Cricetulus griseus: one gene and its partners. The protein of the gene in region 4 purifies or fractionates together with the protein of the main gene of each other region. This does not show direct contact. Links are inferred from orthologs where the notes say so. Each region holds a gene or a part of one and is shown on either strand. Other genes may lie near its edges. The genes, in order: Eftud2, Ecd, Snrnp200, Aar2, Znhit2, CUNH9orf78 and Eapp.

Region 1 (3,969 bases), on a different chromosome or scaffold from region 4:
GGACTGTGGTTCATTTGTAGACCTCTAGGTTCAGTCTTGAGACTGAAGAAGAAAAAAATTTTAGTCTTCCCAGGGTGCTAATGAGCAGTCTGTCTCGTGGCTTATTAACCTGTTAGGGAAACGGTAACTTACTGCATAGAAACGTGTAGTGTTTCTCCAAGGGCAGGCTGGTCAGCTGAGGTCTGTCCTAAGTAAACAGAAAGGGATGAGGGAAACGTATCTGGCTCAGTAAATACTTGGGTTCAGTAAGAACATGGGTCTCTGTGGCCATGGGTTGGTTGTTTTAGAGTACTTAAGCTTTTTTGTCAGGTGGATTTTAAGGAATTGTGCCCCACCAAAACCTACTTCTTAAATTTCTCTGGCACGGTGACTCCAAAAAAGTGTTTTCTCCTTCTAGAAAATGGGCTTCCCTGGAAGTGTTATCTATCTCCTGGTTAGCCCATGCTTCCCTGGAAGTGTTATCTCCTGGTTAGCCCATGCTTCCCTGGAAGTGTCATCTCCTGATTAGCCCATGCTTCCCTGGAAGTGTCATCTCCTGGTTAGCCCATGCTTCCCTGGCAGTGTTATCTATCTCCTGGTTAGCCCATGCTCCCCCTCCAATTCCTTGGTGAGAATGTGTAGCAGCAGCAGTGTAGCAATGTAGTGACGGTGTCCTCTTCTCCCGCCACAGGCTTTGTGGACATGTGTGTGCAGCACATTCCATCTCCAAAGGTGGGCGCCAAACCCAAGATCGAGCACACCTACACTGGCGGCGTGGACTCCGACCTTGGCGAGGCCATGAGTGACTGTGACCCCGATGTAAGGGAACGTTTTATGGCATAGGTCTTCACTCTACCTCAGGCTGGTGTCACACTCCCAGGAGTCCTCCTGCCTCAGCCTCCCTTATGCTGGGATTGCTAGCCTGTACCACCTGCTTGGCTTGGTTTTCTCATTTGTATTTTTGTTGTGTCTGAGTCTCCTGTTAGCCCCTCATAGAGGGAGGGGTAATGCACGGTTTGGAATTTCTCCAGGAGTCCACGTCTTCCTTAGTCTGGCCTTTCTCCTCCCAGCTCCTGTCATTGTTGTCAGGATGTGGTGTTACCTTCGGGCTGTCTGTGGTTAAAGCTGTCCTCTGTCCCCTCTGCCAGGGTCCCTTGATGTGTCACACTACTAAGATGTACAGCACAGATGACGGAGTTCAGTTTCATGCCTTTGGCCGGGTACTGAGTGGCACCATCCATGCTGGGCAGCCTGTGAAGGTGCTGGGGGAGAACTATACTCTGGAAGACGAGGAAGATTCCCAGATATGTACCGTGGGCCGCCTTTGGATCTCGGTCGCCAGGTACTATACTCCTGACCAGAGTCTACAAGGACACGTGCGGGTGTCTATCCTGGGACTGTCGCCGTGTTAATGGGGTCCTAGGAAACACAGCGACCTGGTACAGCTGGTACAGTGTAGAGTGAGATGACCCCCTTCCTGACATCTAGTTCTTAAGGTTGCCGGGGCTGAAGGGCAACTCCTGTTAGAATGTCAGGAGCTTTCCCTTTGACTTTTGGGTATCTGGAGTGAAGTGTTTTCTTTTAGTAGAATTTCTGTTGTTACTCTTTTTATTCCCTTTTTAATGTGTATGAGTGTTTTGCCTGCATGTATGCGTGTGCATCATGTGCGTGGTTGGTGCCCCAAAAGGCCCTTAAGAGTGCTTTGGATCCCTGAACAGTGTTGCTTCCATGTGGCTGCTGGGAGTCACACTGAGGTCCTTTGGAAGAGCAGCTGGTGCTCTCGACTACAGGGTCACCTCTCTTATCCACTTTGCTGTGTCCCTTAGCTTACTGCTTCTGGTTTCTTCCCAGAAGCAGTTGTACCCAAACATGCTCGAATCTCTGGAGCTTCCCAGGCTGCTGGATTGCACTTAGATTGGGCCTCTGGGCTGTTTGTCATCAGGTGACAAGCAGAACCAGAGCAATCCTGTTGGTAACGTGGCTGCCATGCCTCAGTGATGGCCCCTTCCCCTCCTCTAAATCCATCCTTACTCTAGAAGACAGAAGAAAACTGAAGAGCTCAGGGGTGTGTGTGTGTGTGTTTTAGCAGCCCCTTAGGTTAGATAACTCCTAGGCAATGGCTATTTTGTTTTTTGTTTTATGATATAGGGTCTCACTGTATAGCCCTGGCTGTGCTGGAACTCACTGTGTAGACCAGGCTGCTGGCCTCTAACGTACAGAGGTCCACATCACATCCTCATACATGACACTCTGGCATAGCTCTTTCTTGTCCCATGTGCTCGCATCGATGATCCCCTCCCCACAAGAGTGGATCTGGGTTACTCACCTCTGCTCCTGGTCTGGGCCTGGCGTTAGCAGGTGCTTGGTGCTTGTGTGTGTGTGTGTGTGTGTGTGTGTGTGTGTGTGTGTGTGTGTGTGTAGTGAATGCTCTGACTAAGTCCTATGCTTGTTTATTGGCTGTTACTTCAGGTACCACATTGAAGTGAATCGTGTTCCTGCTGGCAACTGGGTTCTGATTGAAGGCGTTGATCAGCCGATTGTGAAGACAGCAACCATAACTGAACCCCGAGGCAATGAGGAGGTAGTGTTTCTGAAGGGGAGCAGGGAGCACTTTGAGCTAGAAGGGCACAGAAACCATGGTCATGTGAGCAAACAAACTTTGGAACTCAGAAGATCCTAATCCAGAGTCGATGCTACTTCTTGGCTCTGCCCTCGCCCTGCCACATTCTAGAAATTAGGACTAGTGAGCTTCTTGTTCATCCCAGGGCTGTGCCAAATGCCTGGAGCAAATGGTCCTTTAAATTGGGCCCCAGCTGTACCATGGTTCTCGGTTGGGGAGTCGAGACTTTAGCTTCTCCCTTAGGCCTGTGCCTTCTTGCCTGCCCCTGAGGCCCTCGCTCCTCTGTGTTTTGGATCTCAGGCTCAGATTTTCCGGCCCTTGAAATTCAATACCACATCTGTTATCAAGATTGCCGTGGAGCCAGTCAACCCCTCAGAGCTGCCCAAAATGCTTGATGGCCTGCGCAAGGTCAACAAGAGCTATCCATCTCTCACCACCAAGGTATGTTCGAGGCCTGCAGTAGCTGCGAAGCCATATCCGCCCCAGCTAACTGCTCTGTGCTGTCACTGTGTGACATTCAGCAGCTATTCCTGATCTGTTGCTTCCCACAGCCTGGTTCATGGACCAGCTCACCTGATATCATTTAAGGGCTAGACAAGACTGGACTGTGTGTATGTTTCCTCAGATGACTTTAGATAGACTTTTTCCTTAAGGGGCACACAATTTGAACTGAATCAGGTATGGTGGTGGACACCGTTAATCCCAGCATCTGCAAGGTGGCGTCAGGAGAATGCAGAAAGCTCAGGTCAGCCTCAGCTTCATAGGGAGTTGGAGGCCATTGTGGGCTACAAATAGGGCTAGAGAGATGGCTCAGCAGTTGAGAACATTGGCTGCTCTTCCAGAGGACCTGGGTTCAATTCCCCACACCCAGGTGGCTGCTCATCACCATCTGTAACTCCAGTTCCGAGGGATCTGAATCGCTTTTCTGGTCTCACAGGTGCCAGGCATGCAGTGCATACGTGTAAATGCAGGCAAGACACCCATACACATAAAATAACAACAGAAAGTTAAAACAAACAAAAGTGACTGATCTTGTTACACTCTTGAGCCTGCCACCAAACTATTTCTAAGAGGCAGGAAGGCAGAGTTACAGGGCGAGCTTATTTTGGTGGATATAAGGATGGGCTTTAACCTGCATGGCCAAGGGAGTAATCAAGTCAGTGATGCCGTACTCAGCAGCACTGTGCTAAATGGTCCTGGTGTCTTAGGGGCCTACTCATTAGGGAAGTATTGTCCTCTGGATTCTTATTTTGGGGACAGACACTTACTGTACAGTATTGGTTGACCTAGAACTAGCTATACAAATCAAATTGACCTCAAGGTCAGGGTGAATCTTCTGCCTCTGCCACCTAGATGCTGGGGTTACAGGC
Region 2 (3,969 bases), on a different chromosome or scaffold from region 4:
CGAGGCTCATGTTCTTAATTCCAGAATTTGGAAGGAGGAGGCAAGAGGAACAAGAATGTAAGACTAGCTGGGATACATAGTGAGACTCTGACTTAAATATCAAAAGACCAAAACAAAGCAAATCAAAATGAAATTGTTGAAAAATGGCTAATGTGAGAAATGGGAGTCCCCCTTGAAACTTTCAAATTCTGGTTGTTTTGTTTCTTGAGTCAACATCTCTCTTTATGAGCTAGGTTGACCTAAAAATTATGTAGCCCAGTTGGCCTCAAACTCATAGTGATCCTCCTGCTTCAGCCTTCTGAGTGCTAAGATTACACCCATGAACCATCACACTTGCTTAAAATATTAGATGTTTAGCAGCTTGTATATTTTCTTCAGTAGCAAAAACAGTTGTGTGCTTTATGGCATAATCCATTTCCTTAAATATTGTGTCATAAAGAACTGTAGGGGGTGGGGCTTCTTTAAGGCCAGGCAAACCCCTGTGCTCAGTGCCAGGGCAGCCTGTGAGCACTTAGGCTGTGAGTCTCCTGGCCTCAGTGTCTAACAATACATACACTTGTCAGTCTCAAAAAACAAACAAACAAACAAAAACCCAGAACTGTAGGGGACTGGAGAGGTGTCTCAGAGGTTAAGAGCACTGGTTGTTCTTCCAGAGGACCTAGATTCAGTTCCAGCACTCATTCACATGGCTGTAACTGTCCACAAACAATTGTAACCCAGCTCCAGAGGACCTAACACCATCTTCTGGCTTCCTTAGGGAACCAGGCATGCATGCAGTGCACAGACATACAAGCAAAACACTCACATACATAAAAATAATAAATATTTTAAAAAGAAATATACTCATAGAAAAATGATTAACTAAAATTATGTACAACAATAAAAATATCTATAATATAGATTCAAACACTGATTCCCCCAGTGGCATGCTCATGTCTGTATCCATACACACATTATACACACATACAGCCATGACATTTTATAAAACATATTAGTTAAAAAGAACTACCCAACCAGCAGTCTGCCTTCCTCTGTGGTGGGTGGTAGCTATAGCTCACCTTTCCGGGCGGTGTATGGAGAGCTGGAAGTAGTTCTTTGCCATTTCTAGTCTTTCCTGGTACTGAGCAGAACCTTCTATCAGTCCCTTGAAAACACAATACCGGTCATTAGAACAGTGCCTACACAATATGAGGGTGCTCCATCACTGTGCTATTCTCCCAGACCAATTTTATTATTATTTTGAAACTAGATTTTGTAAGTGGCTCAGCTGGCCTTTAAATAGCTACACAGTCAGACAGGCCTTGAACTTAGAATTTCCTGTCTGAGTCTCTGGTGAGCTGGGATTACATGTGTGTAGTACCATATCTGACCTCAAATTCCATTGATTTTAGTGAGTGTTTCATTAGCAGATGATAAATATATATAGTAATGGGTTTTATTTTTGATATCCTTGTATGTATATTTAATGCATTTTGAGCATACTCATGCCTATTACATTCTCGAATGTAAGGGTCTCTCAAAAACTATGTATAGGAGCATTCAGTTTTAATCATCTTCATTATCATGCTCATTTGTTTACATCCACCACCTGTGAGGGTGGATTTGGTGGTGGTGTTCGATTTATTTCTCTGAGATGAGGCTGGCCTATAATCTCCTTGGCCAACCAGTATAGTCAACTAGTGAGCTCCAGGTTCAGTGAGAGGAAGACCCCGCCTCTACCCACCCTCTGGCCCCCACCACGTGTAAGAACACAAATAACACATACATGCACACACATTCATAAGAAGAAGCAACCACCACAATTCCCACCTTAAAGTAATCATTCCTCTTCAGACTTTCAAGGAAGCTGGCCCAGAGGGGTGAAGCAGTCACAAGGGATTTCCTGGAGTCAGAAAAATGTGGGCTACATTTGGAGCACAAAATCTCAAATCCATGAGCCTAGATGAGATAGAAAGAATGTTTGTTATTCTTGCATTTTCTTTTTCTCTGTCATCTTAAATTAATTTTTCCCATTTAGCCCTTATCAAGAACTAGATGACTGGACACAATGAAATGTGAACACTTGAACACTTTTTAGTTTCTTTTTTCAGACAGGGTTTCAGTATATATACCTGGCTGTCCCTGGAACTCAGTATGCAGACCAGGCTGGCCTCAAACTCTGCCTCCCGAGTGCTGGGATCAAGGTGTGCACCACCATACCCAGCTTCACTTAGAACACCTTTTAAATTATACGAAAAGTAGAATTTGTTTCTGAGCTGGCAAGATGGCTCAGTGGATAAAGGGGCTTGCCACCAAGCCTGATGGCTTGTGTTCAATCTCTGAAACCCACATGGTAGAAGAGAACCAACGCAAAAGTTATCTTCTGACCCCCACTGTGCACCATGGCAGGCTCCCCCCAACCCTGCCATGCACACGAAATAGATCAATGAAAATGTAACAACAATGTGAAAGTAAGTTGAGCATATTCTCAGACACAGGAAAGAACAGAATGATTTTGTTTTAAGATCCTTTGGTAAAAAATGATAATAATATGGCACAATAATTCAAAGTCATTACCTAAGTCCGGCACCTCCCTTAAGAAGTAATCTGTGCACTCAAGTAAATACTGGTGCCATCCTTCTCTACCCTCTCATCACCCCAACAGCAGCACACACTCTACTGCACGTAACTGCATGATAAGGAGAGAATTTCCTACCGGCACACATCAATTTGTCAACTTCACTTCACAAACATGGCGTAATTTATCTATTCTTCCATGCACTTAGGTGTTTTCTAAGTTTTCACTATTACAAATGATGTTTCCTGAGTAGAAGTCTAGTGGTTTTGAAACCTGGAAACACATTTCTAGAAGTGCAAATGATAAGCAAAATGGTCAATGCAATTTCAGTGTTGATGGATAGTGGAAACTGGTTTTCACAGGGAATGAATCAACTTAAGACTCTCTCTCTCTCTCTCTCTCTCTCTCTCTCTCTCTGTGTGTGTGTGTGTGTGTGTGTGTGTGTGTGTGTGTGTGTGTGTGTGTGTTTGAGACAGGATTTCACTATGTAGCCCTGGCTGTCCTGGAACTCACTACACAGGCTAGGCTGTCCTAGAATTCAGAGGTCTGTCTCTCCCGCCCAAGAGCTGGGATTAAAAGTGTGCGCCACCACACCCAGCTAAATTTTTATTTCTATCCACATGTTAGAGTACCCTTTTCCTTTATATATCCTATAAATGCTTACCAGCTCAGTATATGTTCCCATACTTTTTTATATTTGCCAATCTAGTAGTGAAAAACTATTTTGTGGCTTTAAATTATATTAATTTTTAAGTAGAGAGGTCAATGCTTTTTCATGTTTAAATTAAAATTCATTTGTACTTCCTTCTCTGTGAACTATCTGTTCAGCTTCTGAACATTTAAAATTAATCAGTTAGCTTTTTTTTTTTAAAGATCTTATTTGTTTATTTGTATACAACATTCTGCTTCCATGTATATCTGAACACCAGAAGAGGGCACCAGATCTTATAACGGATGGTTGTGAGCCACCATGTGGTTGCTGGGAATTGAACTCAGGACCTCTGGAAGAACAGTCAGTGCTCTTAACCACTGAGCCATCTCTCCAGCCCCATTTTTTTTTCTTTTTTTAAGATTTTATTTATTACGCATTTTTTGAGGTATGAGTGTTCTGTCAGCATGTATGTCTGCATGCCAGAAAAGGACATCAGATTACATTACAGATGGTTGTAAGCTACCATGTGGTTGCTGGGAATTGAACTCAGGACCTCTGGAAAAACAGCCAGTGCTCTTAACCACTGAGCCATCTCTCCAGCCCAAGCATTCTTTTCTATAGGAACACCTAATACTCCTTCTCCAGATTTTCTGGTATCTTTTGAGTTCATGACATTTTTCTTTTCCAAGCAGAATTTCTCTTCTTCCATCTACTGCTACATTGGTGTTTGTGACAGTGTTGCTACCTGTCACCCAGGCTG
Region 3 (4,692 bases), about 28 Mb from region 4:
GATAGCAGGACATTCGAGAGGTAAAAGCTACAAGATGCATGGCAACACATAGATGAATATAAATGGGTTAATTTAAGTTATAAGAGCTAGTGGGACAAGCCTAAGCTATAGGCTGAGCTTTCATAATTAATAAGTCTCTGTTGTGAGCTGGTGGCCCAAAGAAAAAGCTGTCTACAAAATAGGGTTGGAGATGCCAGGCTGTGGTAGCACACACCTTTTATCCCAGTAGTTGGGAGGCAGAGGCAAATTGGAGGCCAGCTTGGCCTCAAAAACAAATAACAACAATAAAAAATAATAATATAGAATAAAATAATAATAAATATAATATAAATATTTTGTTAGTAATATGTTAAGATATAATATATAAATATTCTATATATTATTTGCATTATAAACATAAATAATAAATATAATAATAATAACAACAATAATAATAGCATGCAGAGAAGTCTCTTCAGAGCAAGTTTGTGGCCTACCTGGACTCCAAAAGATCTTTTCTCAAAAGCCAAAGAAGGGCTGGAGTGATGGCTTAATGGTTATGAACACTTGGCTGCTCTTTTCAGAGGACCTAGGTTTCAACCCCACCACCCACAAGGCAACTCCTAACCTATCTGTAGCTCCAGTCCCAGGGGATTTAATACCTCCTCCTGGCCTTCTTGGGCTCTGCGCATACATGACACACAAACATACATTCAGACACAGATATACACGTAGCCAAAACACCCATATACATAGAATAAAACGAAAGTAATGATAAACAGATTAAACAATAAAAATTGCCAGCAAGATGGCTCAGTGGATTAAGACACAGGCCTAAGGGTCAGTTGTGCTTATTAAACCTAAAGGGAAAAGTAGAAATAGCTGTTTTGTTTTCAATGTAGAGAATTATTAAAAGATTAGATACCGCCATTTCATAAAATGTATCATTACTGCTTAATACATCTGAATAGTATATCTGAATAGACTTTTCATATATTTCTTTAGTAAATGTAGCGTTTGTGCCACATTGAGAACAAATAATCCGTATCTATAATCCTGACATGGACTGTGACAGATCATTGGGTGCAAATATTTCTTCCTTCACCTTCAGTCAGCTGCCACAGCGATTGACTCTTGAGGAAAAGCGTTGGGGGCAGCAAACATTTCCCCAATTTCTCAATACAGAAGAGAAATCCAGTCAGTTATTAGAAGCATGTTAACTTGCTCCTTCAACTTTCTCATCCTTAATAAACGGAGCTCCTAAGCTTCCGTTTGCCTGCAAGCATGCCTGCCTGCCTGCCTGACGGGACCGCTGGACTGAGAAAGCAAAAGTGTATTACAGAAAGGGACTTTTAACACCACACTAAAAGTGGCTTCGTGACTCTGCGTACGTATAGGTCCTTGGAACCATATTGCGCAGGAGCGTGTTTCCTAGGTCCACGGAATCCCTGACCCGGATGTATTACCTTCTGCAACCGCCACCTAGTGGCGGTGCGTAGTCGCCGGAAAGTATCACTTTTAGCGTACGTCCCGGAAGCGGAAGGGAGTCCGTTGCTTTTCTCTGTCCCGCACGTTTGTCCTGCGTCGTTCCTGCTGGGCCGGCGCGGTTTGTTGAGGCGGTTCGCAGCGTGTGGAGAGTGGAACCCTGAGTTCCCGGAGCATCGGCAGCCATGGCGGATGTGACTGCCCGCAGTCTGCAGTACGAGTACAAGGCGGTGCGTGAAGTCTCGGCGGAGGGCTGCGGGCGAGGGAGGCCGTGGGTAGCCACAAACACGGACGGAATATCTGATCTGGGTGAAGGCTGGATTAAAACACGACGGAATAACTCTAGTGGGGTTTAGGGCGCGTGAGGACTCGGGAGGTTTTTTCCCAGTCTCCTCAAACCGCCCCTTCCTACTCGTTATCCCCAAATCTGCTCAACACTTCACCTAATGTGGGTTATTGTGACTACTGTTAGGAACGTTGATCGTTCACTTTACCAGACAGTCCGGTGCTTGGCGTTTTATTATACTGTTTCTTCTTAAGGGGATTATTCCTTTTTCCCAGTATTTTTCCATCTTCAGGTGTCACTGTGATAACAGGAACCGAAGCTATTTATATATTAAAGTTTTGATTAAGTATGATCTTTTCAGAACTCAAATCTTGTGCTCCAAGCTGACCGCTCACTTATTGACCGGACCCGCCGGGATGAACCGACAGGAGAGGTTCTGTCCCTGGTTGGGAAGTTGGAGGGAACTCGGATGGGAGATAAGGCTCAACGCACCAAACCACAGATGCAGGAGGAAAGACGGGCCAAGTAGGTACCAACGGGGTGTTATATTTTCCTTGTAGTCTAAAGCGCATCTTGAACATTTGAGCAGTAGTTTTGATGAAGTACCTGTGGAAGATCAGCGGTGTTTGCACAAGAGAATGAAAACCTCTTCAAGGTTTAAAGTTTCTTTGGACTTGGGTGCAATGAAATGGAACAAAAATCTATTAGTACTTTTTGTTTCTGATTCATAGGTAGATGCTAATTTTCTTCAAGCTATTTTTTTCTTAAAAATCTGTTTCATTTTTAATCATGTGCATGTGTGTTTTTTTGTGAGTATGTGCACATGCATCCAAATGCCTGTGAAGGCCAGAAGACAGTTTGGAACATAGGAGCTGGAGTTTCAGGCAGTTGTGAGCTACCCAGTTTGGAGGGCTGGGAACTGAACTCTGATCCTCTGCAGAAGCAGTATTGCTTCTAACTACTTGAACCTTCTCCCCAGCCCCGTCACCAACTATTTTCCAGACCCTTGTTAATCTCTTGTCTCAGCAGTTCAGCCCCACTACCACTGTTAAAAGCTTCTTACCCTAACTCCCTCCGGTTGTTGTCCACTTCCTGATGCTTTTGTTTTGTTGTCTCTCCCGTTTTTTCATCTTGATAGATCCATTTCAAAAGTTGCATGTTCTCCTACTGTGCTTTCTTTCTCCTTTTTCTTTCTGTGAAGTCTTAACAGTCCCCAGGCCCTGTTTAGTTTGAGTGGTTATAATTGGGGAGAGTTGTTGAGACTTGAGAGAATTGTTAAATTTGAGAAGAAACATTCCTTGGTCCTTCACTTTTCAGAATCTGGCTTCTTTTCTAGCTGTTTATTGGGAGTCATAGAAGTAGATTCCCCTGGAGCCTAGCCTCTCTGGCTAATAAAAGGTTTTGTTTGTTTGTTTGTTTTTTAAAGTTGAAATACCATTATATTATCTCCTCATGAGGATAAAGAAATAAATACTTCTTCAAATGCTTAAAGTCAAGTGGGAATTACTTATTTTGATTCATGTTCCTGCTTGCACATATTAGATGTATAGAAAAGGTAAACTTCGGGGGTGGGGGGCAGGGGAGGAGGAGAGGGAGAGGGAACTGGGATTGACATGTAAATGAAGCTGGTTTCTAATTTAAAGTTGGTCTAATTGCAATTATAAAAAGAAAAGAAAAGAAAAGAAAAGAAAAGAAAAGAAAAGGTAAACTTGACTTGGGGGCGCAAAGTTCTCCCATTGAGCATCACACCCTGTGTTCATTAGGAGAAGAAAGCGTGATGAGGACCGGCATGACATCAACAAGATGAAAGGTTATACGCTGCTGTCAGAGGGCATTGATGAAATGGTGGGCATCATCTATAAGCCCAAAACTAAGGAGACGCGAGAGACCTATGAGGTGCTGCTCAGCTTTATCCAGGCTGCTCTTGGAGACCAGGTGAGGCTGGAACCAGAGGATGAGGCCTTGTGTTTGGAAAGAGAAAGGGTGATGCACAAGAATTTTGGTTAAATTATTAGTTACAAATATTTATTCTGTTTGTGGAAATCAGGACAACTTTCATCTGTGTGGGACTCAGAGATCAAACCTAAGTTGTTGGCCTTGGTGGAAAGTATAAGTTTGTTTTGCTTCTGAAAAGCATCTACCTAATCCCCCCCCCCCCACTTCTGGGGACTGACTCCAGGATCTCTCATGCTTTGTTTTTGTTTTTGTTTTTGTTTTTGTTTTTTTTTTTTTTGTTTTTTTTTAAGTTTTTCAAGACAGGGGTTCTCTGTGTAGCTTTGGAGGCTGTCCTGGAACTAGCTCTTGTAGACCAGATTGGTCTCTAACTCACAAAGATCTGCCTGCCTCTGCCACCTGCCTCTGTCTTCCGAGTGCTACGCTTAAGGGCATGTGGTACCACTGTGTTAAATCCTCAGCAGCTCCCTATAGTCTTTAATTTTTATCTTTTGGTTTTTCAAAACAGGATTTCTCTGTGTAGCCTTGGCTGTTCTGTAACTCACTCTGTAAACCAGGCTGACCTCAAACTCAGAGATCCTCTTGTCTCTGCCTCCTGAGTGCTGGGATCAAAGCTTATTTTTTAAATTTTATTTTATTTGTTTGTGTGAGACAAGGTCTCATGTAGCTCAAGCTGACCTCAAACTCACTGTGTATTCAAGAATAACCTAGAACTTATGGTCCTGTTGTTTCTCCAAGTGCCAGGATTACTGGCACATTGCCATTGTATCTTGTTGATGAATGTGATCAAAGCCTGAGATGCTGCAGATTTTCTTTCTGTTCTTTTTTTTTTTTTTTTAAAGTTGCTTTTTATGTGTATGACTGTCTTTCTTATATATATTTGTGTGTGTGTGTGTGTGTGTGTGTGTGTGTGTGTGTGTGTGTGTGTGTGTGCACCCTGTGTACCCAGTGCTCTTGGAGATTAGAAGACGGCATCAGATCTCCTGGAA
Region 4 (2,654 bases):
CCAGCTGCTGTGGAAACAGTGCCCAGTAAAGCAGAGTTGCCATAAGGTTTAGCAGTTCCTTCTGGATCTGCACCCAAAGATCTGTAAGCAAGGACTGGAGTATTTGTACAGCTATATTCATGGCAGATTTATTCCCAGTGACTAAAATACAGACAGCCCAAATGGCTATTGAGAGGTGAATGGCAAACAGAATGTGGACTACTAGAGGCTAAAGAGGTTGATTAGGGATTAATTGCAGAGGATCTGAGTTCAGCTCCCAGCATCCATGTGAGACATCTCATGGCCGCCAACAACTCTGGCTCCAGGGCATCCAACACCACCTCCTGGCCTCTGCAGGCACCTACATGAGTATAAACATCATCAGACACAGAGGCACAAGGATACACATAAATAAAAATTTTGAAAACCTCTTTAAGTGTGTGTGTGTGTGATATGTGTATATAAAGATGTGAGCTGGGGATGGTGGCATGCACATTTAATCCCAGCACTCGGGAGGCAGAGGCAGGGGGAATCGCTGTGAGTTCGAGGCTAGCCTGGTCTACAAAGTGAGTTCTGGGACAGCCAGAGGTGTTACACAAAGGAATCCTGTCTGAAAACCAAACAAATAGATATGAAAGAGAGACAGAGTATACAATCATGCCTACTTGAAAGTGTGAACTGGGGCTGGGGAGGCATAGGGGGCAGGGTCTGACTATGTAGCCCAGGCTGGCCTTGAGCTTGAATTTCCTCTGCCTCAGCTTCCTGAGTGCTGGAATTACAGGTGTGCGCCACCATGTCTAGCTCTACTGTTTAGTTTTGGATTTTGAAGACAGGGTTTGACTGTGTAGCCCTGGCTGTCCTGGAACTCACTTTGTAAACCAGGCTGGCCTCGAACTCACAGAGATTCCCCCTGCCTCTAGATGTGTGCTACCACCAACTGGCTACTGTTTAGTTTTGAAAAGAAAGGAGATTAGGATGGATGTTACAATGTGGATGAACCTTGAAGATATGCTAAGTGAAATAAGCCAGCCACAAAAGGACAGATACTCTATGCTTCCTCTTCCATGAGGTTCCTAGCCTAGTCAGATTCATAAAGACAGAGAGTAGAAGAGTGTTTCTAGAGGCCAGGGGAAGGAAATGATAGGGAATTGGTGTTTCATGGGTAGAATTTCTATTGGAGAAGATGAGAGTTTCTAAAGATGAGTGTTGGTGATGGTTTCGGGATGGGAATGCACTTATTGCCACTGGCTCATCACTTAAAAATAGTTTAAATGGTAGCTATCTATTTTACCACAATTTAAACGATGGTAATTTTTTTTTAATGAACATTAAAGACAGCTTTTAGGAGGAATAGAAGCCTCAAACTGGTATTCTATGGCCCACTTAGAAGATTAGAGCAGCAATTCAGCCTTGTTTGCTGAGGGCATGTGACTTTATGGGATTCAAGGGCTTATGTGTCTCCCCGAACTTCTTTACACCAACTGGTATAACTATCTTTTCTTCTGTGTTAGCCCAGGTGCCTTATAGACCTTAACACAACCCCACCCCCAACTGGTGGGGCTGTAGTGGTAACTCTGGTGGCCTTACTTTCATGGAGCATCTATACACAGCATGGTAATTTTCCATTCCAATCCCATCCCAATGTGTTTTTTCTTGGTTGGGGGCGGGGGCCATAGCAGTTGTCCTGTAACTGTGCTCTGATCTACTGCCCCAGAGAGCTTAACACTAGGAGGAAATTTCCAGAGCTTTCTTGGTCCCCTATTCTCAGGAGTAACTTATACTCTGTTCTCTGTAGGTTTTCTTTTCTTCTGCCTGCAGTATTGCTGTGGATGCCACCCTGAGGAAGAAAGCGGAAAAGTTCCAAGCCCACCTGACGAAGAAGTTCCGCTGGGACTTTGCTTCAGAGCCAGAGGATTGTGCCCCAGTGGTGGTGGAACTCCCTGAGGGCATCGAAACTGGCTAACTGCAAATCCTCAAGCCAGGGAGACCCTTCCCACATGGCTACTGCCCGGTGTCTCTGCTCATCCGTCTTCCTGGGATCCTCCAGCATAGCGATCCAGGCAGGTCCTGTAAAGATGGAGCCAGGATCCCTCTTCACCAGTAAATACATTCCTTTGTTGCAAAAGCAAGATATTGTGGTTTCCTTTAGCCTGGCCCTGGCACTTAATTTCAGAAAAAGGCCCTTGTAGAGTGTCCAGATGAAACCTGCCCAACAACAGTCTAATTCCTTCTACAACGAGAAAAAAAAAAAAAAAAAAAAACTTAAGTCTAAAAGACTATGCTTAGTCCATAGCTGGTTAAAGGAAGAAAGAAGAAACCTGCTCCATCCCAGGGTCTGAGGGGTTAGTCGGTGAATTGTTAAGTTAAATGTAGGTTTGAAGTCGAATGTGGTTTGTACAGAATTTCTGCCTTCTCCTTGTTAAGTGGAAGGATACCTGCTGAAAAATGGGCCACTGAGCTCTCAGGAGCCCAGCCTGGGGAAGGGCGGCAGCAAGGAAGAGGGTGTGCTGAGTCTGACAAGTGGTCAGCTTCAGCTTCCTCTCCAAGGCCTCTTCAGCCTAGAGGCCCCAGGGGTTAATACCCTGGAATTGGCCCTGGTCTTGGCACTTCCATCCGAAGCCTCACACCATGACTTTTTCTGATGACATGGAATTCAACAACGAAAGGAAAGGCGC
Region 5 (3,586 bases), on a different chromosome or scaffold from region 4:
GGTTAAGAGCACTGACTGCTCTTCCAGAGGTCATGAGTTCAATTCCCAGCAACCACATGGTGGCTCACAACCAAACCTTATGAGATTTGGTGCCCTCTTTTGGTGTGCAGATATACATGGAAGCAGAATGTTTTATACATAATAAATAAAATCTTAAAAAAAAAAAGTTCAAAACACAAGGAGCATCGGGTCCCTCGGCATTGGAATTGTCTGATTGCACTGGCATCCTGATCTTGTCTGGCTGAACTTGATCACAACTGTGACTGAGAAGCTGATTAAATGGTTCCACCCTTAGCACCAGGCTTCCACTACACCCAGATCCCATTGCATCTTGGAATGCACCAAGGAGTAAGGCCAAAGAATAGTTGGACACTCCATTCCATTTAAGCTTTGTGAGAGATACTGGTCAAACTGTAAAATGCGCTGCAACCAGTGTCTAACCCATTGTAGACTCTGAATAGTGACTGTCTCAGACTCATTGTTTAGCCATTAGCTTTTTACTATAGTGGGTGTGGGTATTCCCACATTCTTGTTAGGACAGCATTCAGGAGTGTACCAGGGATTTGGAGGCAAATGGTTTTTATTAAGCCCAGGCTAGTTTTGGACTCTTAATATTCCTTTCCCAGCCTCCCAAATGTTACTAGACTACCACATGCTGTGTAGACTACCACACTTGGCCTGAGCAGTGCTTAAGGGTCAAATTCCCAACTCAGGTTCTTTGTAGAGGAAAAGTATGAAACTATGTAGTTTGCGATCCATGCATAGTGGCACATACCATTAATCCCAGTTCTGAGAGGAAGAGGCTAGCCTAGCCTGGTTTACAGCGCTAGTTCTAGGAAAGCCAAGGCTACACAAACCTCTGGTGGCAGTCAGGGGTTGGGTGGGGATGGGTGGCACAAAACAAATACTAGGAATTGAATTTCAATCCAACTTGGAGGTTGGGCTGCCCCAGTTTGTTATATTGATATGTTAAGTATCTTCGGGGCTTCTCTGTGGCTTCGGAGGCTGTCCTGGAACCTGCTCTTCAGATTCTTTGTCATGCCTGGTTTATGATTTGGTTCTTGTAGGGTTTTTATTATTTTGGGGGTATTTTCAAGACAGGGTCTTACTGTAGCTCTGACTATTCTGGAACTCACTGGGTAGACCTGAAACTCAGAAATCGCCCTGCCTCTGGGGACCTGGTGCGGGGATTAAATTAAAGGCGTGTGTCGCTACACCCCTAAGATTCTGGATTTTTTTTGTTGGTTGGTTTTGCTTAAAAGGTAGTTTATTTTTGCACAATTTGGTAAAACCACAGGGAACAAGCTGGGATCAGCGACATTAATCTTCTAACTCTCGAGAGCCACCGTGTTGGTTAGACCTTGGGCGTGTTCTGCGCATGCTCAAAAGGCTACTCTAGAGACGGAAGTTACCGAGAAGGTACGTCGCCCCACGCACAAAGGCGGAAATAACCGAAGAAGCACCGGAAGTGGCGGAGCTACGTCTGCTGTGTGGTGCCCGACACGCGGCGCCAGTTGCCATGGAGCCCGTAGGGCTCTGCGGCTTCTGCCCAGGCGGGGAAGCTTTGCCGGCGCGCTACACCTGCCCGCGCTGCAACGCGCCCTACTGCTCGCTGCGCTGCTACCGGGCGCATGGCTCCTGCGCCGAAGACTTCTACCGCGACCAGGTGCTGCGAGAGCTCCGCGGCCGGAGTGCCTCTCCCAGCCGTCTGGCGGGAGCACTACGCCGGCTACGCGAACAACGGGAGACCGAGGATGAGCCCGAGGAAATAGGCCTCAGGCCCGGCCCGCGGCCGAACGGCCTTTCTGGACTCTGGGAAAGCTTGTCACCGGCTGAGAAGGCGGCGTTCGAGCGGCTGCTGAGCCGTGGCGATGCTGGACGCCTTCTGCCCCCGTGGAGACCCTGGTGGTGGGGCCGCGGGGGTGGCCCGCGATTTATGGAGGAGTTGGATCGTGCCCCGGGCAGGGATCTTTCGGAGCCGGAGACCGCCCCAGAGAGCACCGCGCCCGAATCTGTGGATGATGCCGCCGCGGTGCCTCTTGCTGAAGACTCAAATGCCGCCGTGCCGCCCGCAGTGCCCTCCCGTATCCCAGCGCTGGCCAGCCTGAGCCGCTGCCCGCCCTCGCCACTCGTGCGATTCCAGCTGCCCAATGTGCTGTTCGCCTACGCTCACACTCTCGCCCTGTATCATGGAGGGGACGACGACGCTCTACTCTCTGATTTCTGTGCCACACTGCTCGATGTTTCTGGAGCCCTGGGCGCCCAGCAAGTCTTTGACTCTACGGAGGAAGCCCTGCAGGCCGCAGCCCACGTGCTGGAAGCGGGTGAACACCCACCTGGGCCCTTGGGTACGCGGGGTGCTATGCAAGAGGTTGCTCGTATTCTGCTGGGCGAGGGTCCTATCAACCAGAAAGGCTACACGCTGACAGCACTGGGGCACCTGGCCCAAACCCTGGGCCGAGCCCGGAAACAGGCTGTGGTTAGCGAAGAACGAAATCGCCTTTACCGGGCTCGGAAGAAGTGCCAGTTCCTCCTAGCCTGGACCAACGAAAATGAGGTTGCTCTCACACCACTGGCTCTAGACTGTGCCAGGGTCCACCGAGCCCATGCTGTCACAGCCGAGGAGATGGCAACCCTTACTGGGGAGCTGGAGCGGCTTTGGGGAGGCCCGGTACCACCTGCTCCAAGGACTCTCATTGAGGAGCTCCCTGGCTGAGCTGGGTGTGTGGTATTAATAAAGCTGTCACTGGTCTGTCCAAATGTTGGCAGTACCTTTATTTTCTTCAAAGACAGTACCCTATCCTAGACTTTCCTTGAAGTCACTGTGTAGCTGATGACCTTGAACTTCTGAGCCGAGCCTGCCTCTACCTTGACAGTGCTGGGATTACAAGTGTTAAGTCACCTTGCTAATTTATGCAGTGCTGAAGGTCAAAGGCTTCTTGAATGCTAAGCAAGCATTCTATATAACAACTACATCCCCCAGGCCTGAAGTGCCCATTTCTGAGAGAAACCAGTTGTTCCACGAAGCTACCCTGGACACACAAACCACTTCCCTAGTACAGCTTCCCTAGTCAGCTAGTTCTCTACCTCTCTCCCCCAAATCACTGACCCCAGAATAGAAGAAAAACAAGATTGAAAACATTTATCCAGCAGGGAAAAGTATTTTCATATGGGAGCAGTGGTTCCCTCTTCTTGCGTCAGACTCTGAGGCTGGTCATCCCTGCCAAGTAGAATGGGGTGCAGGCCCTTCACCCCACATGTGTTCAGGCCTGAGCTTGTTAGATGGCTCTGCCTCAGTAGACATAGGGTATGATTCGATAAGGCACACGTTTGCAGTATTCCTGCCAGGCACGGCCATACTTGCGAAGGCACTGCTGCTCATCTCGGGCCTCCCGGTGTACCAGCAATGCAGTGAAGTAAAGGAGGTAGAAGTAGGGCAGCAGGTGAGACACCCCTGTAGGGAAGGGGTTGCATGATGAGACACCAGCACCCGGTGTATAATGGCTTTCTCAGCTAATGACACACAGGGTGACAGGGTTCATCAGTGATACACGGGGTCCATCTCCAGTCACACCAGACTGAGCCT
Region 6 (4,762 bases), about 120 Mb from region 4:
AGAGTTGTAATCCAATTCCCTGGGTTTGTGCAGCAGTTCCCACGGAATCTCTTTTTCAGCCAACAGAGACATGGCGTCCAGTGAGTGCCATACACATTTAACAATGGCTGAAACAGCCTTGCTGGGAGGTCAAGACTTCGATACTTAATGTATTTTTCATTAATGCAAAAAAGCTGTTTCAAGACATCCCAGTCTTCTTTGTCCTAGTTTAAGAGGAACGACAACCTCAGAGAAAATTGTTCTGGAGAAAAGCCAAAGCATGGCAGACATGCCTCCCTGCTTTAGAATAGTTTTCCAGAAAAAAGTCTCCATCAGTCTCCCGCCCCCCCCCCCCGCCCCAGCCCATGAACTGGAATGCCATAGAGGCCCGCTGTCCCTGATGCAAATCCCACAGCTGGGAAAACTATGCCCCCACCTGAGCTCCCCTTCCCAGCTGTGTAACTTGAAGCACAGGTTACTTCTCTAAGCCTCAGCCTTCTCTAACTTCCTCAGTTGGAAGACAGACCCAACTGCATCTACTTCGTGAGATTAGACCGGAGACTTTTAGGAGAGAATGCTTAGCCCTGCCACAGTTAAGAAGTGCTTTGCTCCAGAGGAAACTAGTAATTAAGGAGTCCCTATAAGTCCCATGTGAGCCATTACGCATGCACTTATCCATCTCCTAAGTGTTTATGGATACCTTTGAAAGCTAACTACTCTCGCAACATCTTGGCGGTGGAAGGTGTGTAGGACAGAGCGAGTCCTCCAGGCCAAAGGAGACACCCCGAGCTCTCGAAGGGCAGTCCCCGGCTTCACACCCTTGGAGAGGCCTCTGAACGTCAGTGGCATCCCTCCTAGGGACCAGTAGCAGCAGACCACCCTGGTACGGGGGAGTTGGTATCGGGACTGATATTCACCCCCGCCAAGGCGCTCAGCTTTTGTCCGTGAGAAATAAATTTGCACATCTGAGGCCCAGAGCCCGAGTGGCCTCGCGCTGGCCTTCCGAGCGACGTGCGGCCTGCTCAGGAGAAGCCAGGGCCGTGGGGACTTGGGGCGGACACAGGAGCCGGTCGATGGGAGGGTGGGCGGCGGGGACCTCTCCCCAGATCGCGGCTGCCCCGCAAAGCCAGGCCTCCCCAGTTCGCAGCGGCGGCGCGATCGTCCCTGCTCTAGCGGCCCAGCCCACCGCACCAGGCATCAGCCGTCCGGAACTCACCTGCCGTCGCAACCGCGCCGCCTGTCAGTCAAGCGCGCCCACCGCGACGCCGCGCAGAGTCTTGTGGCTCTGCCTGTCGTGCCCCGCCTCCCTACCGTCAGCTGTCCAATCGAGAGAGCCTATGCCAAGGACGGGGCGGGGTCACATGGCGCTGCCTACTAGGGGGCGGGACCGTGCGTGCTGGGGGCGTGGCCGTGCGAGTACTGAGTGCCCATGCATGCTGGGAGTAGGGGGAGTGGCCGTGCTGCTGGGGCGTGGCCACGTGGTTCGAAGACTGTCTTGCTGGTGGAGGGCACAGTCTCGGCGCTGGGGCGTGGCCACGCGGCTGTACCTGCCCTTGCTTTTTGGAGTTGGGAGCTGGTGGCTATGCTGCTGGGGCGCGGCCTGGACACCCGGAGGCGGGTCTGCATGCAGCCGGCCCTCTGACGACACTTCTGCGCGCCGGAAGAGAAAGAGGTTCCCGGCACTACGCGGCAGGTAACGCCGCTCCTAAGATCTGGTGCCGCTATGCGGATCACTGGGAAGACTTTCCGCCGGCGGCGGGCTGACTCGGAGTCGGAGGAAGATGAGCAGGAATCAGAGGAGGTTCGGTACGTGTTTGGCATGACCTCCACGGCCCAGGAAGAGGGAAACAGCCTTGGGACTGGCTACCGGCCGGCACTGCGCTGACACCACTGACCGGGAGCCAGGGTTGTTGTCTTTCAGAGGCTCCTGCTGATAAGGCCACATTTCCCCGGTCCCGAAGCTCGGAAAGGTGCTCCGGGGTCGCATGGGTCTGACTGCCGGTGATCCACAGTGCCAGGGACTCGGCCGAGAGACACGGATGTCCCCGGAACTGAGTTAAGCTTTGAGTTCCGCAGAGGATCTCTCAGCCTGTGCATTGCTTTTTATTCATTTCCCCCCAGGTTAAAACTTGAAGAAACCCGAGAGGTGCAGAACTTAAGGAAGAGGCCAAACGGGGTGAGGTGGGTACCATGGGGGTGGGGGTGGCGTCATTTATTGATGACACAGATACTTCCAGCTAGGGTCTCAGTTACAAATATCTCCTTCGACATAGTTCTTTCTCTAGACATACACCTTGCACTGGTCGAAGAGGGGACCAGTTTTTTTTCAAATGTGTAACTGCCACATGCCCTGAGCCTGGTGGTATCAGAGTCTACTCCAGGTCACTAATTGCTTTTTGGTTTTTCCAGACAGGGTTTCTCTGTATTGCTTTGGAGCCTGTCCTGGAACTTGCTCTGTAGACTAGGCTGGCCTCGAGCTCACAGAGATCCGCCTGCCTCTGCCTCCTGAGTGCTGGGATTAAAGGCATGAGCCATCACCACCACCCTGTTGCTAATTGGAGTTGTTTTTTTTGTTTTGCTTTGTTTTTCAAGATTTTATTTATTACTTATACAGTGTTCTGCCTGCATGTATACTTGCACACCATTGCAGATGGTTATGAGCCACCATGTGGTTGCTGGGAATTGAACTCAGGACCTGTGGAAGAGCAGCCAGTACTTTTAATCTCTGAGCCATCTCTCCAGCCCTAATTGGAGTTTTTAATTGCACGGATGAATTGTGAATGACAACGTGTTGACAGATAAGAGTTTAGAAAAATTAGAGAAGTATAATTAAGAAATAAATGATTTCTGTGGTGGTTGTTGGTGCATGCCTCTAATCCTAACCTGGGAGTTTGAGGGCAACCTGGGTTATATAGACCCTATATTTAATTAAATATAGACCCTATATTTAAGAACTTTGTGGGAGCCGGGCAGTGGTGATGTGCACCTTTAATCCCAGTGCTCTGGGAGGCAGAGGCAGTCAGATCTCTGTGAGTTTGAGGACTGCCTGGTCTACAAAGCCAGTCCCAGGATGGGCTCCAAAGCCACACAGAGAAACCCTGTCTGGAAAACCCAAATTATACTGTGATTTCCAGGCTAAAATGAAATCAAATGGCTATGCAGGAACATGCACAGCTGCTTCCTTTGCCTTTCACCCTCCCACTCAGTGTGCTGAGCACTGTGTTCTTTCCTACCTACTCTTGGGCATGCCCTTCCATCAGTGCTCTAGCCTGCAAACCTGATTGTCCCAGATTGCTTCCTATGCTGTGACCATGACACAAAACCACTTGCAGAGGAAAGGTTCTGATTACATTCAGTTATTGGGGGAAGACAAGGCAGGAACCCAGAGGCAGGAACTGTAGCAGAGAGCATGGAGGAGCACTGCTTACTGGCTTGCTTCCCAGGTTTACATTCAGCTGTCTTATACAACACAAGACCACATACCCAGGGGGAAGGGAGCCCTGCACACAATGGCCCTCCCACACCAATCACAAGTAAGAAAATACTCCTCAGGCTTGCCTACAGGCCAACATGATAGAGGCATTTTCTCAATTGAAGTTTCCTCTTCCCAGGTGACTCTGGCTTGTTTCAGTTGACAAAACAAACTAGCCAGCATATTGATTGATTTCCTTCTTGTCTCTGTGTCATTTCTTTGTCTGTTTTCTTTTGCTCAGTGCTGCTGCCCTGCTGGTGGGAGAGAAGGTTCAAGAGGAGACTACTCTGGTGGTGAGTGTTGTCTCCTCTCTGGGGCTGTTCTTCTGTGAGTGTGTCTCTAATGTATAACCATGCTGCCAGGGAGATGGCTAGTCAGAGTGCTTCCTGTGCAAGCACAAGGGTCCAAGTTTGGATTCCTGGCACCCACATGAAAAACTGAGAATGGTGACACATCCCTATAATCTGAGCACTGGGGAGGCAGATTAGGACGATGTGCTGAATAAGAAAGCTAAGATACCCTCTCTCAAAGTATAAGTTGGGGGAATGGCTTTGTGGGTAAAGTGCTGAAGTTCTTGCTGCACAAGTTTGGGGACCTGAGTCAGGCCCCTAGTACCCAGCACAAAAGCTATACATGATGGCATCCATCTGTAACCCTAGCAAGGTTTGGAGTAGAGACAGTTGGAGCCCTGGAGCTGACTGGCCAGTGAGTCTACCCAAATCAGTAAGTTCTCTGTCTGAGATATTTAAGGTGGAAAGTGATTGAGGCAGATGCCTGACTTTGGGCTCTTGCCTCCACAACCACACATGCATACACACAAACATGTATATACACTGTCCACACACAAAACTAACAAACATGGTCACATACAAAGTAAGAAAAGCTGGGTGGTGATGGCATATGCCTTTAATCTCAGCACTTGGGAGTCAGAGTGAGAGACCAGCCTGGTCTACAAGACCTAGTTCCAGGACAGCCTCCAAAGCCACAGAGAAACCCTGTCTAACAAAAAACAAAACAAAACAAAACCCCCCAAAAAACAACAACAACAAAAAATAAGGTGGAGAATGATTGAGGACACACCTACAACGTTGACCTCTGACCTTCACGGGTATGCATACATATGTGTACGTGCACCTGTACACTCACAGATGATCACAATAACTCTGATGCTACTATTCTAGATGCTTCCTCTAAGCAGTGTGCTTTCCGCAGGATGACCCTTTCCAAATGACGACAGGTGGCATGGTGGACATGAAGAAGCTGAAGGAGAGGGGCAAAGATAAGTAAGTGGAGGGTACTGGGCACAAACAC
Region 7 (3,969 bases), on a different chromosome or scaffold from region 4:
CCAAAACTACACAGAGAAAACCTGTCTCGAAAAACCAATGGATTATATATAGGAAAATATTAAGAAAATATAGTATTTTTTTTACAGTATGGTTTACCTCAACAATTACAGCAGGAATTGAGAAGTCATGATATTTTATTTGTTGTGAAGTTCTGTTAGCAAAATCTATGAAGCTGAACAAACTAAAATACCATTTTGATAGCAAGCATCTGAGCTCTGCTGGCAAGAATACCAACTAATTTAGAAGCAAAGCTCATGGACTCAGAAAAGCCAGACTTGACAGGTGGTAGTTATGCACGCCTTTAATCCCAGCACTTGGGAGGCAGAGGCAGGTGGATCTCTGTGAGTTCAAGGCCAGCCTGGTCTACAGAGTGAGTTCTAGGACATCCAGGGCTACACAGAGAAACCCTGTCTTGAACCCCCCGCCCCCCCCCAGCCCCCCCCCACACACAAAAGAAAGAAAACCAGACTTGACACTGGTGGCAAGTACCACAAACAAAATACAGCAGCCACTGAAGCTTCATATTTGGTGGCACTCAGAATTGCCATAGCTATGAAAACTCACACCATTGCTCAGGATTTACTGTTGCCAGTGGTCAAAGATGGTGCTCAAGATATGAGATCAGAAGTGAATTTGTTTCATAATTAATGCAGTTTCCTTATCTAAAGACACTGTCTGCAGAAGAGTAGATGGCATGTCTGCTGATATTCTTGATCAGGTAATCCAGGAAATTGAATCTGCTGCACTTCCAACATTTATTTATTATCCAGCTTGATGAATCTACAGACGTTGCAAACTGTTCAGTTACTAGTTTACATGAGGTGTGCTAATAATGGCGATATTAAAGATGAGTTTCTTTTTTGCAAACATCTTGAAACAACAGCTACTGCACGTGATGTATTTGACACAGTTGGTTCATTTCTGAAAGAGCACACAAGCTCTTGGGAGAGGGTTTGTGGTGTTTGCACCAGCTTGCTAGGATTTCAATGTTTGGTACTCAGTAAGTCACCAGAAGTCATCGGAACTCTCTGAATGATTCATTGGCAAAAGATTCATTAGCAGTGAATGATTCATTAGCAGTGAAGATGCTGCCACAAGAGTTATAAGAAGTAATGAAAGGTGTCAGTTTTGTCAAAGTGAGCATTTTAGACAGTTGACTGTTTTGTAGCTGTGCAGTGAGTTGGATGCGTTGAACAAAGCTCCGCTGTTTCACACTGAAGTGCAATGGTTGTCCAGAGGGAAAGGGTTCAAACATGTGTTTGAGCTTTGTGATGAACTCAAAGATTTTAGATTTATTTACTTATGTATTTTTTGTATGAATGCTCTGTCTTCATACACACCAGAAAAGGTCATCAGATCCCATGATAGATGGCTGTGAGCCACCATGTGGGTTCTGGGAATTGAACTCAGGACCTCTGGAAGAGCAGCAATTGTTCTTAACTTCTGAGCCATTTCTCCAGCCCCCTCAGAAAGCAGTTGGAAGCACTTTTCAGCAATGAATGTGAGCTGCAGAAAACAGCTTACTTGGTGGACATCTTTGTCATCTTGAATGAGTTAAATTTATCACTGCAAGGACCAAATGCAGCATGCCTGGATTTGTCTGAAAAGACCTGATCATTCCAAATGAAACTTCAGCTTTGATTAAAAAGGGAAAAAAAAAAAGATGATAATAGAATTCACATGTTGTCTACCTAATCTTCTTTCTTTGAGGAACATGACATTGAACCAGACAAAAGGATATTATATTTATGTGAAAGAACACTTGCACATGAAATTTCATCATACTTTCCAAATCTACCTGACACCCCATTTGCCCCTGCCAGAAGCCCATTCACAGTCAAAGTGAAGATGTTCCCGAGAAACGGCACAAGAGGAATTCCTCACTGAAGTCACTGACAGCTGTGCAATGAGGATCTCTCTACACTGCCAGTTGCATAATTCTGGGTCAAGTGTTTGCAGTCAGATCCTGTGCTCTCTGAGGCTTTGTTGTGCTTTCTTCCATTTCCAACAACATATCTTTGTGAAACAGGGTTTTCCAGCTTGTTGGTTATAAAGTCTAAATACAGATGTAGACAGTGCACTTGCAAAGACTGGCCCGAGAATTTCTGATCTGGTGAGAAAGAAGTAGTCTCAACCTTTGCACTAAGGTTGGCTTTTTACGAATACTGTTGAAAAATATAGTTTTTTTTTTTTTTTTTATTAAGGCTGTTACCCATGCTACACCATGTTTCAAGACAAAATTTATTTGTAATTAGAAGTAAATAGTCCACAATATAGAATTACATATTATTTCTGTGGTTAGTCATTATGCTTTAATTATGTTCATTTTGTAACAATGAAAATATAGTCAGGGCTACGCAGAGAAACCCTGCCTCATACAGGGGAGACTGGTCTCAAACTTGCTATCTAGCCAAGGATGACCTTAAACTCTTGATCCTACTGATCCACTGGGGTTACAGAGTTGTCACCATGCCAGTTAGTTTAAATGGGTATTTTGAGACTGAATTTTCATTATTTGAATTTAGCCCTTTGGCCTCTTTTCTCTGTAATTTGGTGTCTTAATTGAACAAAAACTCTTATTTGAAGAATAACTATTTTATGAATTTGTTTTTGGGGTAGGATTTTATTTTTGTTGCCAGAGTGGCCTGGGACTAACTGTGTAGTCCAGGCATGGCAGTTCTCCTCCTGCCTCAACCTCCTAAGTGTTGGGATTGCTGGCTAAAGAAAGGCTTTGGGTATCTTTTTAAAAGATAATATAAATAGAATAAATACATAGTATGGGAAACAGGAGAGTCATTTTATATTAAAGAATTGTAAACTTTAGACATGATTCTGATCCATATTGGTAACCTTTTAAAAATTAGCACAAGTGACCAAGAAAAAGAAGAAGAAACAACGCAGGATTCCAACAAACGATGAGTTGCTATATGATCCTGAGAAAGATAACAGAGACCAAGCCTGGGTTGATGCACAGAGAAGAGGGTAAGAATTTAAATCTATATATGTAATCTTTACAGGAAGAATGATTTTTCCCTGCTTTTATATTTTATAGTATGTGTATTTGTTTTTACACAAACACATCAAAAACAATTTGAGGAGAAAAACTTGAATAGTTTATTTGAAAATAACCAGCAGTTTTAGTCAGACAATTGAATATTTGTTTATTTATTTACTTTTTTTTTTTTGAGGCAGGGTTTCTCTGTGTAGCCCTAATTATCCTGGAACTTGTTCTGTAGACCATGCTGGCTTTGAACTCAGATCCACCTGCTTCTGTCTGGGATTAAAGGTCTATGCAATCACTACCTGGCTAAATTTTTATTTATTTTAAAACAGATCCTCGACGGATGTTGGTGGCGCACACCTTTAATCCCAGCACTCGGGAGGCAGAGGCAGGTAGATCTCTGTGAGTTTGAGACCAGCCTGGTCTGAAAAAGCTAGTTCCAGGACAGCCTCCAAAGCCACAGAGAAACCATGTCTTAACACCCCCCCCCCCAAAACAAAACAAAACAAAACATAAAACATTAAAATAAAACAGATCTTCATGTAGCCTAGGCTGGCTTTAAAAACTTAGTATGTGGTTGGGGCTGGTCCTGCTTCTACCTTCCAAATGCTCTCTGGAATTTCAGGTTTGTGTCACCACAGTTAATTGTTGAGTTATTGATGGATCTAAACTGTCATAGTCAGTCACTTCATTTAAGAAATAGAACTTTTTAGCTGGGTGATGGTGGCACACGCCTTTAGTCCCAGCACTTAGGAGGCAGAGGCAGGTGGATCTCTGTGAGTTCCAGGCCAGTCAGGGCTGTTACACAGAGAAACCTTGTCTCAAAAAAGAAATAGAACTTTCTATTGTTCTTGTGGGACAGGGTCTTGCTATGTAGGCCTGGCTATCCTGGTACTCATTATGTATGTTGCCCTGGCTGATTTATAGCAATGCTGCCTCAACCTCCTAAATTCTGGGATGATAGGCA

What was found.
Region 1: the proteins of Aar2 (region 4) and Eftud2 purify together in Homo sapiens (affinity purification with mass spectrometry; 5 studies listed by BioGRID and IntAct, counting the BioPlex papers as one, with this or other methods). This does not show direct contact. The link is inferred for Cricetulus griseus from reciprocal best matches to the Homo sapiens genes AAR2 and EFTUD2.
Region 2: the proteins of Aar2 (region 4) and Ecd purify together in Homo sapiens (affinity purification with mass spectrometry; 3 studies listed by BioGRID and IntAct, counting the BioPlex papers as one, with this or other methods). This does not show direct contact. The link is inferred for Cricetulus griseus from reciprocal best matches to the Homo sapiens genes AAR2 and ECD.
Region 3: the proteins of Aar2 (region 4) and Snrnp200 purify together in Homo sapiens (affinity purification with mass spectrometry; 5 studies listed by BioGRID and IntAct, counting the BioPlex papers as one, with this or other methods). This does not show direct contact. The link is inferred for Cricetulus griseus from reciprocal best matches to the Homo sapiens genes AAR2 and SNRNP200.
Region 5: the proteins of Aar2 (region 4) and Znhit2 purify together in Homo sapiens (affinity purification with mass spectrometry; 3 studies listed by BioGRID and IntAct, counting the BioPlex papers as one, with this or other methods). This does not show direct contact. The link is inferred for Cricetulus griseus from reciprocal best matches to the Homo sapiens genes AAR2 and ZNHIT2.
Region 6: the proteins of Aar2 (region 4) and CUNH9orf78 purify together in Homo sapiens (affinity purification with mass spectrometry; 3 studies listed by BioGRID and IntAct, with this or other methods). This does not show direct contact. The link is inferred for Cricetulus griseus from reciprocal best matches to the Homo sapiens genes AAR2 and C9orf78.
Region 7: the proteins of Aar2 (region 4) and Eapp purify together in Homo sapiens (affinity purification with mass spectrometry; 4 studies listed by BioGRID and IntAct, counting the BioPlex papers as one, with this or other methods). This does not show direct contact. The link is inferred for Cricetulus griseus from reciprocal best matches to the Homo sapiens genes AAR2 and EAPP.

What each region holds. Positions count from the first base shown.
Region 1 is NC_048600.1:115,274,556-115,278,524, forward strand, and holds part of Eftud2 (116 kDa U5 small nuclear ribonucleoprotein component), read left to right. Parts: intron 1-670; coding exon 671-798; intron 799-1,127; coding exon 1,128-1,321; intron 1,322-2,448; coding exon 2,449-2,560; intron 2,561-2,899; coding exon 2,900-3,040; intron 3,041-3,969. UniProt on the Homo sapiens protein: Required for pre-mRNA splicing as component of the spliceosome, including pre-catalytic, catalytic and post-catalytic spliceosomal complexes. Component of the U5 snRNP and the U4/U6-U5 tri-snRNP complex, a building block of the spliceosome.
Region 2 is NW_023276807.1:200,644,660-200,648,628, reverse strand, and holds part of Ecd (protein ecdysoneless homolog), read right to left. Parts: intron 1,939-3,969; coding exon 1,810-1,938; intron 1,145-1,809; coding exon 1,059-1,144; intron 1-1,058. UniProt on the Homo sapiens protein: Regulator of p53/TP53 stability and function. Inhibits MDM2-mediated degradation of p53/TP53 possibly by cooperating in part with TXNIP. May be involved transcriptional regulation. In vitro has intrinsic transactivation activity enhanced by EP300.
Region 3 is NC_048599.1:51,367,460-51,372,151, reverse strand, and holds the start of Snrnp200 (U5 small nuclear ribonucleoprotein 200 kDa helicase), read left to right. Parts: upstream 1-1,649; coding exon 1,650-1,694; intron 1,695-2,111; coding exon 2,112-2,275; intron 2,276-3,513; coding exon 3,514-3,685; intron 3,686-4,692. UniProt on the Homo sapiens protein: Catalyzes the ATP-dependent unwinding of U4/U6 RNA duplices, an essential step in the assembly of a catalytically active spliceosome. Plays a role in pre-mRNA splicing as a core component of precatalytic, catalytic and postcatalytic spliceosomal complexes.
Region 4 is NC_048599.1:23,026,613-23,029,266, reverse strand, and holds the end of Aar2 (protein AAR2 homolog), read left to right. Parts: intron 1-1,774; coding exon 1,775-1,942; downstream 1,943-2,654. UniProt on the Homo sapiens protein: Component of the U5 snRNP complex that is required for spliceosome assembly and for pre-mRNA splicing.
Region 5 is NC_048596.1:53,289,299-53,292,884, reverse strand, and holds Znhit2 (zinc finger HIT domain-containing protein 2), read left to right. Parts: upstream 1-1,283; 5' UTR 1,284-1,519; coding exon 1,520-2,716; 3' UTR 2,717-2,760; downstream 2,761-3,586. Other genes in the region: delta(14)-sterol reductase TM7SF2, read right to left, coding at 3,294-3,454. UniProt on the Homo sapiens protein: May act as a bridging factor mediating the interaction between the R2TP/Prefoldin-like (R2TP/PFDL) complex and U5 small nuclear ribonucleoprotein (U5 snRNP).
Region 6 is NC_048599.1:142,694,784-142,699,545, reverse strand, and holds the start of CUNH9orf78 (telomere length and silencing protein 1 homolog), read left to right. Parts: upstream 1-1,618; 5' UTR 1,619-1,702; coding exon 1,703-1,785; intron 1,786-2,100; coding exon 2,101-2,160; intron 2,161-3,692; coding exon 3,693-3,744; intron 3,745-4,663; coding exon 4,664-4,734; intron 4,735-4,762. UniProt on the Homo sapiens protein: Plays a role in pre-mRNA splicing by promoting usage of the upstream 3'-splice site at alternative NAGNAG splice sites; these are sites featuring alternative acceptor motifs separated by only a few nucleotides. May also modulate exon inclusion events.
Region 7 is NC_048598.1:147,614,497-147,618,465, forward strand, and holds part of Eapp (E2F-associated phosphoprotein), read left to right. Parts: intron 1-2,865; coding exon 2,866-2,983; intron 2,984-3,969. UniProt on the Homo sapiens protein: May play an important role in the fine-tuning of both major E2F1 activities, the regulation of the cell-cycle and the induction of apoptosis. Promotes S-phase entry, and inhibits p14(ARP) expression.